2 linked regions of the Pelodiscus sinensis genome follow. The protein of the gene in region 1 interacts with the protein of each later gene in a biochemical or structural test. Links are inferred from orthologs where the notes say so. Each region holds a gene or a part of one and is shown in the gene's direction. Other genes may lie near its edges.

What was found.
Region 2: of the proteins of IFIH1 (region 1) and TRIM65, one has a biochemical effect on the other in vitro, tested with the Homo sapiens proteins (2 studies listed by BioGRID, with this or other methods). The link is inferred for Pelodiscus sinensis from reciprocal best matches to the Homo sapiens genes IFIH1 and TRIM65.

What each region holds. Positions count from the first base shown.
Region 1 is NC_134717.1:34,873,945-34,881,626, reverse strand, and holds the start of IFIH1 (interferon-induced helicase C domain-containing protein 1), read left to right. Parts: upstream 1-4,406; 5' UTR 4,407-4,714; coding exon 4,715-5,164; intron 5,165-7,682.
Region 2 is NC_134730.1:11,107,184-11,114,502, forward strand, and holds the start of TRIM65 (E3 ubiquitin-protein ligase TRIM65), read left to right. Parts: upstream 1-4,141; 5' UTR 4,142-4,288; intron 4,289-5,252; exon of another isoform or gene 5,253-5,457; intron 5,458-5,835; exon of another isoform or gene 5,836-6,156; 5' UTR 6,157-6,175; coding exon 6,176-6,622; intron 6,623-7,319. Other genes in the region: FBF1 (fas-binding factor 1), read left to right, coding at 232-368, 1,059-1,195. UniProt on the Homo sapiens protein: E3 ubiquitin ligase that plays a role in several processes including innate immnity, autophagy or inflammation.

The sequences.
Region 1 (7,682 bases):
AAACACTAGGGTATATAGTTATTTCAAAATAGCAGCAGTGGAGCTTCTACACTAATGCTACTTGGAAATAGCTATTTTGAAATAAGTGTTATTCCTCATGACAAGCAGGAGTTATTTTGAAACAACAGGCTTGGTAGTGTGGACGCTGTGCTTGTTATTTTGAAATGAGGGGAGTTATTTGGAAATTATATATATAAAGTATGAGCTTTCATGTTCAAAACCTACTTTTTCAGGACTACTTGTTTTTCAGGTTAAAGGTTTGTAAATGGTATAGAGATATTCTGATGAAAGGCACTATAGACTTGCAAACATCTCTTTATGAGCCAGATTCTTTCATCCTTACGCAAACAGTCTCACTGGGGAAAAGATAACATAAGGTCTTTTCCTACAGTAGCTGCAGTTATGCTGTATTCTGGGTGTTTAACTTTTAAGTTACTATCCGATAGGGCTTCGTCTACACTGCCGGTTTTGCTGGCAGTGTGTATGCAAATGAGACATGGATTAGCATATCACCATGCCTCATTTGCATAATCTTTGCACGCCGGTTTTGCACAAAGGGTTTCTTTGGGGGGAAAAGTAATGTGGCTAGGGGGTTTTTTGCGCAAAAACCCTGTTTTGCACAGGATCCTTATGCCTTATGGTGTCTTTGAAAAGTTTCCATGCAGTTTGCAGAGATTTTACTTTTGTCCCAGGACCTTTTAATTTCTGTTTAACTAACTTCCTCATTTTTGTATAATTCCCCTTTCTGAAATTAAATGCTAGTGTGTTAGGCTGCTGAGGTGTTTTTCACACCACAGGGATGTTCAATTTTATTACAATATGGTTGCTATTTCCAAGCGGTCCAGTTATATTTACCTCTTGAACCAGATCCAGACTAAATCAAGAATAGCCTTTCCCCTTGTGGGTTCCAAAACCAGCTGGACAATACACAAGGTATGCAACTTTAAGGATATACTTGAAAAACAACAAATAGTTTAGCAACACCTTCTAGACTAACAAAACATGTAGCTGGTATCAAGAGCTTTCGTGAGTACAACCTACTTCTTCATCTGTGTACCCACGAAAGCTCATGATACCGTCTACATGTTTTGTTAGTTTTGAAGGTGCTGATAGACTATTCAATGTTTTTCCAGCTATAGACTAACTCTGCTACCCCTCTGAAGCTTTAAGGATATAGATGTACATGTACTTATTTCTATAAATCACACGCAGTTCAACTGTAAGCAGCCTTACAACTGCCAGACAGGAGGTCGTGGCCTCACTCTTTCCCCAAGCATAGAGGCACCCACAATGCATCTACCGAAATGAATGGTTCAGCTTCTAGTTGCTGCAAGCAAGATATGTGGGAATACCTTGCTCAGTCCCCCCTACTGCTTATTCTTTATACTCCTATATTTATACTCAACGTGGTCATTCTAATAATATCTACAATTGATTACATATTGGCTGCGTCTACACTGGCATGATTTTGTGCAAACACTTTTAACGGAAGAGTTTTTCCATTAAAAGTATTTGCGCAAGAGAGCGTCTATACTGGCATGTGCCTCTGCACAAAAGCATCCGTGCCAGTGTAGACGCTCTCTTGCTCAAGAAAGCTCCAACGGCCATTTTAGCCATCGGGCTTTCTTGCGCAAGAAATTAAGGTTGCCTGTCTACACTGACCTCTTGCGCAAGAATATTTGCGCAAGAGGACTTATCCCTGAGTGGGAGCGTCAGAGTATTTGTGCAAGAAGCACTGATTTTGTACATTACCACGTCAGTGTTCTTGCGCAAATACTCGCGGCCAGTGTAGACAGGCGGCAAGATTTTGCACAAAAGCAGGCGCTTGCCAATGTAGACACAGCCATTGTGTAATATACCTAACACACCCTTATTTGGAGAACACCCTGATACTCAGGATGTTGCAAAACTATGTTAGTAGTTAACAATGTTATGGCTGCATCTGCTTTTTGATGATCAGAAATAAAATTACCATTTTACTCCTCCTTTTGGCGTGATCAGGGTGTACTATGCTGAATATGCATGATTGTGTAAAAACATTCCTGCCTCAAAGTCCCCAGTCTTGCCTGTGTGCCTATTTGCACCAAGCTTGAAACATTCGGCTGCAGCACTGTAAGGGTAGCCAAGCCCTCAGCAAACTAACTGCAACTTTTAAGTGTGGTAATGCTGAATGTCACAATGCATGAATCCCCTTGTGAATCTAGTCCCCAGTAGAGATGTAATATCAGTTAACTGCTTAAACCTTAGGATTAATCAGTTAACCAATTAAATGGGGGGGGGACGCAAACCCAGCAGTGCTGCCTCTGCTGTCCCCTTTGGGCCCAGCCTTCTCTCCCCACCCCCATCCCGCACAGAGCTCCTGGCTCAATGTAGGGCTGCAAGCTCCCATCCTGCCCTGTGGTGCAGTGGGCACAGGAGGGCTGGAGCAGCCCTCTGCCTGTGGTGGGCCACAGGCGGGGGACTACTCTTGGGAGTCAGTTAACCATTACTGGGTAAGCATCACCCAGGAAGAGTGATGCTTACTTGATAACGGTTAACTGGTTACCTGTTCACTTTCCTAGTCCCTGTGTGTAGTATCAGTCTTTTCTTACCTGGGGAGATAAGCCACCATGCTTATTCCTGGTTTTAGCCAAATTAAAACAAAAGTATCTTAACCCAACCCTTAACAGGGTTATAATAGAAGCATTATTGTTGGGAAGTATAGCTTTGCTGTCAGATGTGACTGTAAGGATACTTTTATAAAACTCCACATACAGTATATAGAATGGATTCCTGCATGTCTTGGTGTAGACATTTTTACAGAAAGAAACTCACCCTCTTACTCAAAGGTAAAGATTTTTAAACAAAAATCCCATGAGGTACCTAAGGTTAGGCACCTATCTGAATCTGTAGGTACCTAAATACCTTTACAGATCTGACTATCATTCCTATAATCTATTTATCTATAACCCTGTGCTTGTGCTAACCAAGGGTGCCATGGCAACTAGGATGCTCAGAAAAAGTAAGGGTGAATAACCATGTTACTTAGCAACAAGGATCTTTAGGTTGGAAAACTCTGTTCCAAATTGTGAAGAAAAATGACAGCCAAAATCAGAAAATGTAAAAATACAAGGAAAGTGCAGTGACTGATGATAGTGACGATGTTTTGGAGAGAAGTATAAGAGGAAAGTCAGAGGGGGATGAATATGAAATCTTAGAGACAGAAGGAGCTTCAGAAGGGACATAGAACAAACCAGAAATAAAAAAGGAATGATAAGAGACAACAATGAAACTAAATTGCACAGAGTGAATTGAAACCAAAACCCAGAATGGAAGTACAAAAAAAGGGAAACAGAAAACAAACAGTGTTAGAAGAGAAAATAAACAGAGGAGAGTTTCTGTGTTCATATCTAATTACAGCTCTATGTAAGAACATAGGAATGACCATACTGGGTCAGACCAATAGTCCATCTAGGCCAGTGTGCTGTTTTCCCATAGTGGCCAGTAGCAGATAATTCAGAGAGAATTAACAGAACAGGTCTATTATTGAGTGATTCATCTCCTATTGCCTAGTCCCAGCTTCTAGAAGTTTAGGGAAAGCCAGAGCATGGGGTTGTGCCCATGATCATTTTAACTAATAGTCACTTATAGACAGGGCTGGCCTGAGCCCTTTTGGCACGTTGGGCGCTGCCCCCGGGCGCAGGGCTCATGCACAGGCCCGCCCGTGGGGCACACGGCGCATGCGCTGCCCAACCCGGCCAGTGCTGCTAGTGCACGCGCCGGGCCATGCATGGCCCTGCAACCGTAGGGGCAAGGGCGCTGCTGTCCAGCCACTGTGGGAGCCGGGCGCGCAGCTCCTAATGGCAGCTGCAAGGGATGCCGCGGGTCCCTTACAGCTGCCATCTGGGTTGGCGCCCTGAGCAGCTGCCCGGCTTGCCCATGCCTCCATCCAGCCCTGCATATAGACATATCCTCCATGAACTTATTATTTTATGAACACAACTGTACTTTTGTCCATAACAACCTCCCATGACAAGTTCCACAGGCTAGTTGTGCTGTGCATTGTGTGAAAAAGTACTTCCTCTTGTTGCCTTAAATCTGCTACTTATTAATATCATTGAATTTTTGTGTATTGTGTGAAAGGGTAAAAAAATAAAACTTCTCTATTCACTTTTTCCACATCATTCCTGATTTTATAGACCCCCCCAATCAATAACTCCCTAAATGTCTCTTTTCTAAGTTGAACAGTCCTTGTCTTTTTAATCTTTGCAGAGGTTGTTGGGATGTGGGTGGGATAGGAATCTATACAGAACTGGTCATGGGGGTGCACAGAAAAGATTAAAAAGTGAAGCATGGGACTGGCCGCCTGCGGACTCAGGAAGATGGCTCAGTCCTTTTCGTTTGGAAACCGAACAGCCCGCAGGAATCGAAACCGAAAGCGGCCGGTTGGGGAAGCTTAAAAGCGCTGTGGTCAGCTCCAGCTCAGCAAAACCTCGGAGGCACGGAGCGGGGTACCTCGGAGAGACGTGCCCAGCCAGCAGTTTCACCCGTCCACCAAGCTGTTTGTGTGGCTGCACTGGCGCCCAAGAAGAACCGCAGCCACCTGCCCGCTCCAAGCAGCTAGGAGCTGAGTGCCGGAGAAGCTCGGGACCCTCCCTCCTCCCTGGGCACTGGAGACTCCCGGAAGCGACTCCTAACTGCCCCAGCCGTGCCACTGAACCTGGACGCAGAGAAGATGTCGGCCCCCTCCCGCGAAGAGGAGTTCATTTATCTGATCTCCTGCTTTAGGACCCGGCTCACGCAGTACATACGGGTGGTGCCGGTGCTGGACTGTCTGGACACGCTGAGCGTGCAGGAAAAGGAGCGGATCCGGGCGGTCGCTCGGCAGGGGGGCGAGCAGCAGGCGGCTGGGGAGCTGCTGGGGGTCGTGGAGCGGGGCTGCAAGGAGCCGGGCTGGATCCAGCAGTTCGTCACCGCGCTGCAGCAGGGGGGCAGCGATATGGCCGTCTGCTACGTGAACCCCAGCCTGAGCCAGCTGCCCTCGCCGGCGGAGGAGGCCGACCACGACATGTGCGTGAAAATGGTGCAGCTGCTCTATGGCACCCTGGTGGACAAGCTGATGAGCCCGGAGGTCACTAACAAGTGTGTGGAGAAGGGACTCTTGCAGGATGAGGACCATGAACGGGTAGGTCGCTCTGCCCCCCTCCAGGCTGCCCCAGGAAAGCTGCACCCAGGCCGAGCCCTTCTGCTTCCCGCCCCGCCCCCGGAGAAGCGCTGGCTCTGGGATTCCTTCCCTGCAGCCCGGGCAGCCGACCCTGGCCTTCCTAGTCTCCCGCCAGCTGTGTGGTGACTTCGGTGGCCACCACGCTTCTGCAGAACTGTGCTTCCTCCCAGTGCTGGGCGAGGACTGCCCTGGATGATTGCCCTAACTTGTACATCTCCCCGTCACAGTGTTCCCAAGGGTCTCCCCATTCCTCTGCGCCCTCATTTCCTGCTGCCCTCTTCTCCCTCCGCCCCCAGTTTCCCCTAATTGCCCCTTCCAGTAAAGGACGGTTTGGCCCCTTGCTACAGCTCAATAGGGTTGGGGGCTGACTAGCTGCCAGTAGCAAAAGGAAGGGTCAATGAGAAATCAGGACCCTGAGAGGGACAGTCCCCAGGGGCAATAGGGAGAAGCCAACATTCCAAGTCAGCGTGATTGACGGGAAAACCGGCTAATGAGGGAGTGGGAGGGGGCCATCCTTTGTGTGAGCTGGAATTGCCTGGTCAGAGAGTGGGGCCGAGCTAAGGAGAGACCAGGGGCCCAAACTGAGCTGAGGAGCAAAACGGAGCCAATCAGAGAGCACCAGGGAGAAGATCCATGCTGGGAGCAGGGCTGCAGCAACTGGGGTGAGAGAAGCAGCTCTGGGCTGAAGGTAGAACAGGACCCATGCTGAGGAGGGTGGAGCTGGGGCTGGAGCCCACTGGAGTGGGATGTGGTGAACAACTGGGGCCAGCAGGGAGTGGGGGGAGGGCAATGGTGAGTACTGGGGAAGGATGCAAGGAAGGCACTGGTCATGTGACTTCCTCCATGAGACTCCTCCCCATGCAACCTCTAGCCCAGGGGAAGTAGGGTTGCCAGGTATCCAGTTTTGAACCAGACAGTCCAGTATTTGAGCTTTCTGTCCCAGGAAACAAATTGAGAAAACGTAAATGAGCAAATTTAAGTGTCCGGTATTTTCTAAATAAGATGGAATGTAGATTGCAATATAATGTCAAGTGTGTCTGGTATTTTTGTTGAAATCATCTGGCAACCCTAAGGGGAAGTCCCTGCCTTTTCTTGCCCTGCCCCTACTCCACCTCCTCCCCCAAACTCTGCCCCTTCCAACCTCTCCTGTCCCTATCTGCTCCCTCCCTGTCCTATTCCATCCCTTTCCCCAAATCCCTTCCCACAAATGATGTTGATGGGGAGAACTAACGGAGACCTGGCATCTGCAGCAGGGGTCAGCCCCTCCCTCCCTGTACTCACAGGCATCAGAGATGGCAAGCAGAGTGACCCGCCTGCAACCTTCTCTGCTCCCTGCAGCATTGCTCTGCTTCTTGCCACTGGTGAGTGTGGAGGACGGGGGAGTGATTCCACTCCTTCCACAAGCCTCCTCCACTGAGCGATACAGCTGGGAGTCAGAGAAGCAGAGTGTGCTGGGTCTTGTTCACTCTACTTCCTGTTGTGGCCTGTGAGTGTGGGGTAGTTCTGACCCCTGAAGCCAGGACCCTGCTAATCTTCTGGTCTGTTGCTGAGGGAGGAGATTTGTGAAAGGGGCGGAACCGCCCCCTGCAATCACCAGTGGCAGGAAGTAAAAGTGATGCAGCTGGGAACCAGGGGAGCAGAGTGGGGTGGGGCCAGGTCATTCCACTGAGGGCTGACCCCTACTGCTAGCTGCAACGCACAGGGCATGGGACAGTTGGACAAACCATCCATAGGAGAGGACAGCTCTGCCTGCCAGTCCCTTGCTTGTCTCCTCTCCCCCCAGCATTTGGGGGGAGACATATGACCCTTTGTGCCCCACTCACGTCACTCCTGGAGGGAGAGGCCCTGAAGAGAGGGCCCAATGCAGAGACACCCTTAGCCAAGAGTTCTTTCAGGCTAGACTGGGAAGGGAATCATATCCCTGATGGAGAAGCCGATTCTAGTAAGAAGAGTCCTGCCACCTAGAGCCTGAAGATGTGTGACCATGATCAGAGCAAGTATCCAACCCACAGCATCCCTGCAGCAGTCTGGGCCTGAGAAGGGGGCCTTGGATGTCTAAGGAACAGAGTGTGAACTTCCCTTACATTCCAGAGACTGCCACTCATGATGTCCTCTGCCTCAGAGTAGAGTTATGTGTTTTCCTTTTAACCTTTCCCATTTTTTCTTTATTTTTAAAAAATTGCTGTTTAATACATTTCATTTGCTTTGAACCTTATATAACGATAAGGGAAGCATCCAGTGCAGAGAGAGCACCCCGAAGTGGGATCACCCAGTGTCCCACCCATAGAATGGTTCATGGAGATGGTCCTGTGCTTTGGGGCTTTCAGAGGTGTTAGAGTGATCACCATCATATTAAACTGTAGCCTTAGAGAGATTTCGGTGGGGAGGGGGACCAATTCTCTTTAGAGAATTCTCCTCTGATGGTGGAGATATACTGTGTATTTTGCTTCCATAACTTCAGCCCCCACTCTGTTGACAA
Region 2 (7,319 bases), on another chromosome or scaffold:
TTAAGAAAATGACTTGCCATATTGAAGCGATAAGGTCAATTTATGTATGGCTGGCAAGCTTCTGCCTTGAGCTGCCTTGGGAGCTAGGCTCCGAGTAGTCATGTAGGTTTCTCCATGGGGGTCTGTTTCTTCTCCATCTCTGCAGAATCTGTGATGATGCAGGATTGTAGCTTCAGGATAGTTAACCAAGGAATAGAGAGACCTGTCCTTTTACTCCTGTCTTGTTTTCAGCCACAGTCTCAAGATGAGAACTTTCAAGACCTTTGACTTCTATAAGAAGCACCAGAACAACATGACCCCAGCCGGGTTGGCATTTTTCCAGTGCCAGTGGGATGATTCCGTTACTCATGTCTTTCACAACCATCTCAGTAAGAAACTCACTTACTAGGGATCTGGGCCAGGGAGTCACCCTTCGCTTCCCCCTCCCCCCCCCATCCATCCATCCAGCAGTCGAGCATTACTAAATGTGTCTTGGAGGAGACAGTCATTTGGTAGTGCCTGGGGTTGGGAAAAGAGGACAAGAAGATGGAAGCAATTTGCTTAGACGTCAGACACACCTGACTGAAATCAGCCATGGCCATGTGGGCTCTCTGATGGAGCAGATGAGGTTCCAAGAGGCATGGGCGTGTGTGAGTGGAGGGTGAATTCAAAGGCCAGTTCTGACTTGCCCCTTTGGGGACAGTTGCTCTAACTGGTTTCTATATAGCCACGTATGCCTGGCACATTAGTCTGACACTGGGAACATTTACAGCTGAGCATTAGAAGCAGTTGGCCTATCAAAGGCTGCAGTGTGTTTGTGGCCATCTTAGGGTACATAATTCTGGGGGCTTCGAATCCCATTTTGACTGGGTACTTTAAAATAACAAGGGGAGAGGACGTGGCAGAGCGAGGTTCCATTGCCAGGCACTACATGTGTGGTTTTGATCTGTAATTAATCTCACATTCTGCCCTACGAGGGACGTGGGATCTTCTGAGCAATGGAAGTGGGGATGGGGGGTGATGGTGCAGGGTTAGGTTTTGAGAGGTCTTAGCTAATGTTCAGCATTGTTCCTTTGCAGACATGAAGGAGCCAGTGTTTGAGTTTGTGCGACCCCCTGTGTATCATCCCCGTCAGAAGAAGTTTCCACACCTGCAGCCTCTGAGGTACCTGGATAGGTACAGGGACAGCCACGAGCCCACATATGGCATTTACTAAGGCGTTTCCCACCACTCCAGGAGCTCCAAGCCACTGGGTCAGGAATACTCTACCTTCTCGACGCGTGTCAAATGCCTGTGCTGACGGGAACGTTCCATGACTCTGGGAGAAGGGGGATGTGAGCTTTCACAATCACAGCATGCTGTGGTCTAAGCTCGGATTCATTGACAACACTGGAAAGAATGTAACGGAAGTTTGCCAATATTTCTGCTATTGGTCGTTACCTTGGTCAAAAGCCTTGTTAATAAAGGATATTGTGGCCATGAGAGTGTCTCCACCTCTGCTCTGATGGCCTCTGAGCCAGATGCAAATGTTGCTGACCAGCCCAGTGCCCTCCAAAGGCACTGTATCTCACTGCAGGAGCCAGAACTCTAAGCATAGATAGCTGGAGGTGGGCCAAGACCCATCAGTTCAGGTCATGTATCCACACAGAGAGAAAAATACTTTTATCTAAATCCAGCCCCGTGATCTGTACAGCCCGGAAGAAGGGGAACTGCCCATTTGGTGCATTTCTTTCTTCCCCACCATGAAATTCCCAGTTCTGGGATTCTGGGCAGCATCCTGCATATTCTGTACAGATATTTTAACAATCTATAAAACACTTTCCAAATGAAGCTGATGATGTGAGTCGCTGACAGCTTGGGGAACCCACAGGCAATGTTCCCGCTAATTTTTTCCATTCTTGTGTGGAATACGTTTTATGTACACCAAGGCATATGTGGATGTGCACCACCATTAGCAGAGCACCCACAGCATGTGTTTCTAATCAGCTGGGCAGCAGTTGCATCTCTCCTGGGCAACTACCCAAGTGCTCAGCTTACAGGCAACTAATGCAGCAATTCAAAATGTATTACGCTCTATGTGCTTCAGGACTGATGCGATCAATGCTTTACGCTGATTTGATACTGCACTCCTGCACCCCTGTTGGTCATTGCCAGACAAGAGGAAATGCAGGGTTCTGATATAGACATCAGACTAGGCTGACTAGTCTGCCTACATTTTGAGAATGAGTATTAAGGGGACTGGGCTCTACTCTGAAATTAAGAGAACATGCAAAGCCCAGGCGTGTCCAAACCCACCACTTCTCCAGGCCATCAACAAGGTCTGGGTGTTGTTCTTAGAGATAGGTCAAAATCAGAACTCAGTCTGGGTCATGGCTGAGACATGTTGGAAAGTCACTGAGTGCGGGACGCTTTCAGCAGAGGCAACAGTGCATCTGCTGTGTAGATATATGGTGCCCACCAATTTCCACAGCTCTGACCCTAGTACCTATCACTAGCCTTAAAATTGGCCCCCCATTAGATTTGTTGGCTGCCCAAAGCGGCAGTAAGGAATCCCAGGGCAGCTGACTGGCCTGCAGTTGCTTCATCCATCGCTGTGTCACTGAGGATGCATGTAGAAGCATCAACACCCTACCTATGCCAGGACTCCAGGGCTATGTCTACACTCCTGGCTTCTTGTGCAAGTACAGCCGTTCTTGCACGAGAATCCGCAGAGCGTCCACACTGCCACCACCCCTCCTGCGCAAGGAAATTTACAGTATGGCATAAGAGAGGGCTTCTTGTGCAAGTGCTATGCTCTTTTTTCTCAGGTGTAAGCCCTCTTGTGCAGGAGCTCTTGCGCAAGAGGGCAGTGTGGATGCTGAGCAGGGATTTCTTGTGCAAGAAAGCCCTATGGCTAAAATGGTCATCAGAACTTTCTTGCGCAAGAGAGAGTCCACACTGCCATAGGTGCTCTTGCACAAAAGCAGAGCTCGCACATGGCGGTGTGGACCTTTTGTTGCACAAGATGTTCTTGCGCAAGAAGCCGCCAGTGTAGACAAAGCCCAGCTGAGTTCCCTGCAAGAACTCCTGTTTACCTGAGTTGCCTCTTGCTGAATCTGTGGTATTCCTCCTGTTGAAGGAGTAAAGAGTACTAACCAAAGACATTTAGGCTATGTCTACACTCGCGGCTTCTTGTGCGAGTAATATGCAAATGAGGCTAAGCATGGAATATTGCCGAGCCTCATTTGCATACCTAATGAGCCACCGTTTTTTTCGGAAGGGGCTCTTGTGCAAGGAGCGTCTACACTGCCCCTTCTTGCGCAAGAAATGCCCTCTTGCGCAATGCCGTTCTTCCTGAAAAGTAATAGGTGTAACCGCATTGCGCAAGAAGGGGCAGTGTAGATGCTCCTTGCGCAAGAACCTCTTCTGGAAAAAAATGGTGGCTCATTAGGTATGCAAATGAAGCTCAGCGATATTCCACGCTTAGACTCATTTGCATATTACTTGCGCAAGAAGCCGCAAGTGTAGACATAGCCTTAGTGTTTAAGTACCCACCCTTTTACATGCTCCCTCAGCGCCACAGCGATGGATGCACCAAGTGCAGGGCTAGTTGGCTGCCCTGCCTTGGGCAGCCAACAAATTTATGCTCACAGTGCAATATCCCTCTGAGGGAGGGATACCTCTGCTGAGTGAGCACAGGCCCCTCTCTGTCTCTAATGGGATAACATTGGCCTGACATTCCTCTAAATCAAACCACAGACCACCTGGTGCTGCATGGAGATTACAGACAGCAAATTGACTTGATATGTGGGGAGACTGTGTAGCCTGGAGTGTGGCAGAAATAAGAGCCTTAGCGGAAGGTCTTTATGGGGAGAGATGGGACAAGGAATCAGGGATGGAGGGGGGGTTTCAGCTCAACTTTTGCCAATGTTGATTTTGGAAGGAGAAGGACTGAGGAGTCCTGGGTGGTGCTGCCACAGGGTTTGCAAGTGGCAGGATTGTGGCTGAAGCTGGGGCCAGTCTCTCTATGTGAGAAGTTCCAGCCCATTTGCGCACTGGAGATTTCAGATTGGCTGCCTCCCGCCCATTGCCCAATCTCCTGCAGCAGAGCAGCCAGTCAGAGCTGCTGCAGGCAGTGCTCCTCCTTTCCCCTCCACCAGTAACTCAAATGTTCTCAGAGGAGGCAGAAAGAGACCAACGAGCCAGGTCCCTCTGAGCAATGGGGACAGCACCTCTGGTACCTCCCTACTACTAGCTGGCCTAGGAGGTGAAGAGCCCTTGCCTATGCCCCAGGCCCAGGAGAGGGGGGTGAACCACAAGAAGTGCACAGGTGAGGCTGGGAAATGGGGGATGTGAGCTAATGGGGGTGGAATTAATTATTGGGCAGGAGGTGGGTTAGATGGGCCAGAGAAACCCCTGCACAAGGGCCAGACTCTCATGTCCCAGTACATTTGGGAGAGTGGGCAACACTAATTGTCCCACACAGATTGGGCTAGGCAGGAGGTGGCTGACAATCAGAAATCACAACACTGGATGCTTTTTTTTTTCTTTAAAAAACATCTGGGGTCAGGCAGAGAGAGGATGGGGGGCGGGTTAAGGGTTAACTAGAGCTGGAGGATAAAGGGCAAAACAGCTAGTGTCTGAGTACAGAAGCAACTGGCTTTTATTATTTCCAGAGCGCGATGTGCAGAGACAGAGGTTTTAGAACAGGTAGTAAGTAAAGCAAGCGCATAAGCCAAGCAGAGCCCTGGCTGAGAGCTTGCAGCCTGAACGAAGTACAGCTGCTTGTAAGTGTTATGCCTCTGATCTCATGGCATGTGTGGGAGGAGAGTGCCTTGCATCACACAAGCAGTGGCACAGTTCTCCCTCTGATCTACCCCCATGCTCCCTGGACACAAAGTGGTAACAGAAAGACCGTTAGGTCCCAGTAGGAGTGGGTGGGACTCTGCTTGATCTGGAGTGGTGAGCAAAAGGGCAAGAAGTAGACAAAATCTTAAAGACATGTTCTGTGGTGATAAGATTCCACAGAAGAGCTTTGAACTCCCACCAACCCCAGTCTCAGACTGCATCCTTGGGATCTAAATATGGGAGGCTCCATCCTTCATTGGCTGTCCTAGGTGTAACGGTACTCCCCTCCCCTTGTATTCTCCACTGACTCCTCGTGTGATTGCATGTGGGGCTTGCACTCAGTCATGGCACTGGCCTCCGGGTTTGTGATCTGTGGAGCCAAGCTTTGTCATTGTAGGTGGGCGCTGGCTGCTGCTGAGACCTCCCAGATGCATGACAGCCTTTTGCAGTTGCTCTGCCTTCCCATAGCGAGGAAATGCAACATCCTGTTAGGTTGCAATGCATCTCCATGTTACATTTCACTTAGCTAGCAATCCCTGCCCAGTGCTCAAGGCCCCTGACCAATGCTGGGGCTCTGTATGGCTACGGTCTGCCCTGCTGATCCACTTCCTCAAGCCAGCAAGGACATGAGTGCTGCGTGCAGAGTCTCTGGTAGGTCCTCTCTGGTTTGCCAAGGGCTCTGCGTCCCACACCCCCCCGCCCAGCACCCCCAGCCTGCCCCTGCCCCGCCCCCTCTGCGTCCCACAGCCCCCCGCCCATCACCCCCAGCCTGCCCCTGCCCCGCCCCCTCTGCGTCCCACAGCCCCCCGCCCATCACCCCCAGCCTGCCCCTGCCCCGCCCCCTCTGCGTCCCACAGCCCCCCGCCCATCACCCCCAGCCTGCCCCTGCCCCGCCCCCTCTGCGTCCCAAAGCCCCCCGCCCATCACAATTCCAGCACAGAATTGTGGTCACTGTAATAAAACGGTGGGGGAGAGGGAAGGTGGCAAGGCTCTGCCTGGTTTGTAAAGACAAGCCCTGTCCCAGGAGAAAATGGCTGTTCGGGTTGAAAGCTGAGAACTCCTCTCAAGGGCTAAACAGAAAACAGCCAAAAAATTAGCTAGCAACACGAAGCTGAGCAAAGGCAGCTTTTCAGGCCTCCCCAGGCAGCCAGCAGTCTGAGGGTCTGGGAAATGAAAACCAGAAAGTCTCCTTGAGAGAGCAGAGAACAGGTGTTCGATAAATACAACGCCGCCGGCCTGTGTGTCCCTTTAAGAGCTTAGCTGGCTCTGTGCCCATCCCTCCTCTCTGCAAAGCATAGCTCTGTCCTAGCCGCCTCTCACGCTGCTGTTTGATTTCCTTCTCTGCCTCAGCTGCTCTTGGCCTAGCAGGATGGCAGCTCAAGGCCCCCAGAAGCTGGAGGAGAAGCTGGTCTGCTCCATCTGCCTGGAGATGTTTGGGACACCAGTGACCATGCCCTGTGGGCACAACTTCTGCATGAAGTGTATCAACAACCACTGGGACAAGGAAGAGATGACAGCTGCTCCGGGCGAGAAGGTTTGCACCTGTCCCGACTGCAGGAAATGCTTTGGGCAGCGGCTGGAGCTCAGCAAGAACGTTGCCCTTTGCGGCGTGGTAGAGCTGGTCAGGTCTGGCGAAGAGCAGGCCTCCAGCATTGAGAGGAAATCCCCCGTCAATGGGGGCAGGTGCTCCAGGCACGGGCGGCCCCTGGAGCTCTACTGCCAAGAGGAAAAGCTGTGCATCTGCTGTGTGTGCACGGTGAAGGAGTGCCGGGACCACCGCAGGGTCCTGGTCGAGGAGGAGCGCAGGAGAAAGGAGGTAGGGTTGGGCTGGGTCTCCCCTGTGAGCTGCGGGGCCCTAACTCACGGATGTAAAAGTTTAAAAAACAACACTAACCCTGTAACCAAACAAAATTCAATTGGTTACATGGGAAAACCTACCAGGGGCTCTTGGTGGCTGCCAGCCCTGCGGTCTCTCGGCAGCGGCCAGGAGTTTAACTGCTACGGTTAACCCAAGATTCAGCAGAACTAGCAGATGTTGCAGCATATTTGAACACTAAATAGTTAATAGTGTTGTGTGGCTGTCTGGTAACCAGCTCCCGGATTTCCTGCCTGCCTTCCGTGTGCGCGCAGCCATTCCAGAGCGGGACCCAGTAGGCATTATGACATGCACAGCCCTGCTCCTCCCACAGCTGCTTGAGAAGGCGACAGACACCCTTCCTCTGATGATTATTTAGGGCTAGCTGGGAAGTTGCCTGTGAGGGCGAAACTATAACCGGAGAGACCCAGCCTTGCAGTGTGAGAGAGAGAGGTGGAAAGACAGTGTCTGCTTCCTGTTGCCTGTGCTGCCTTTTAGCAGCCCAGTGCTGTCGCCTGCAGCCAGCATCCAAGCTGAGCGATTCCTCAATGCCTTTGTGGTGGAGCAAGACAGATTTGCAAAAGGGAAATAAAAGGCTTTCCATGTGAGGTAGCTCTCTCCAGAGACCTGTATTCTGTTCCCACGTGACCCAGGACAA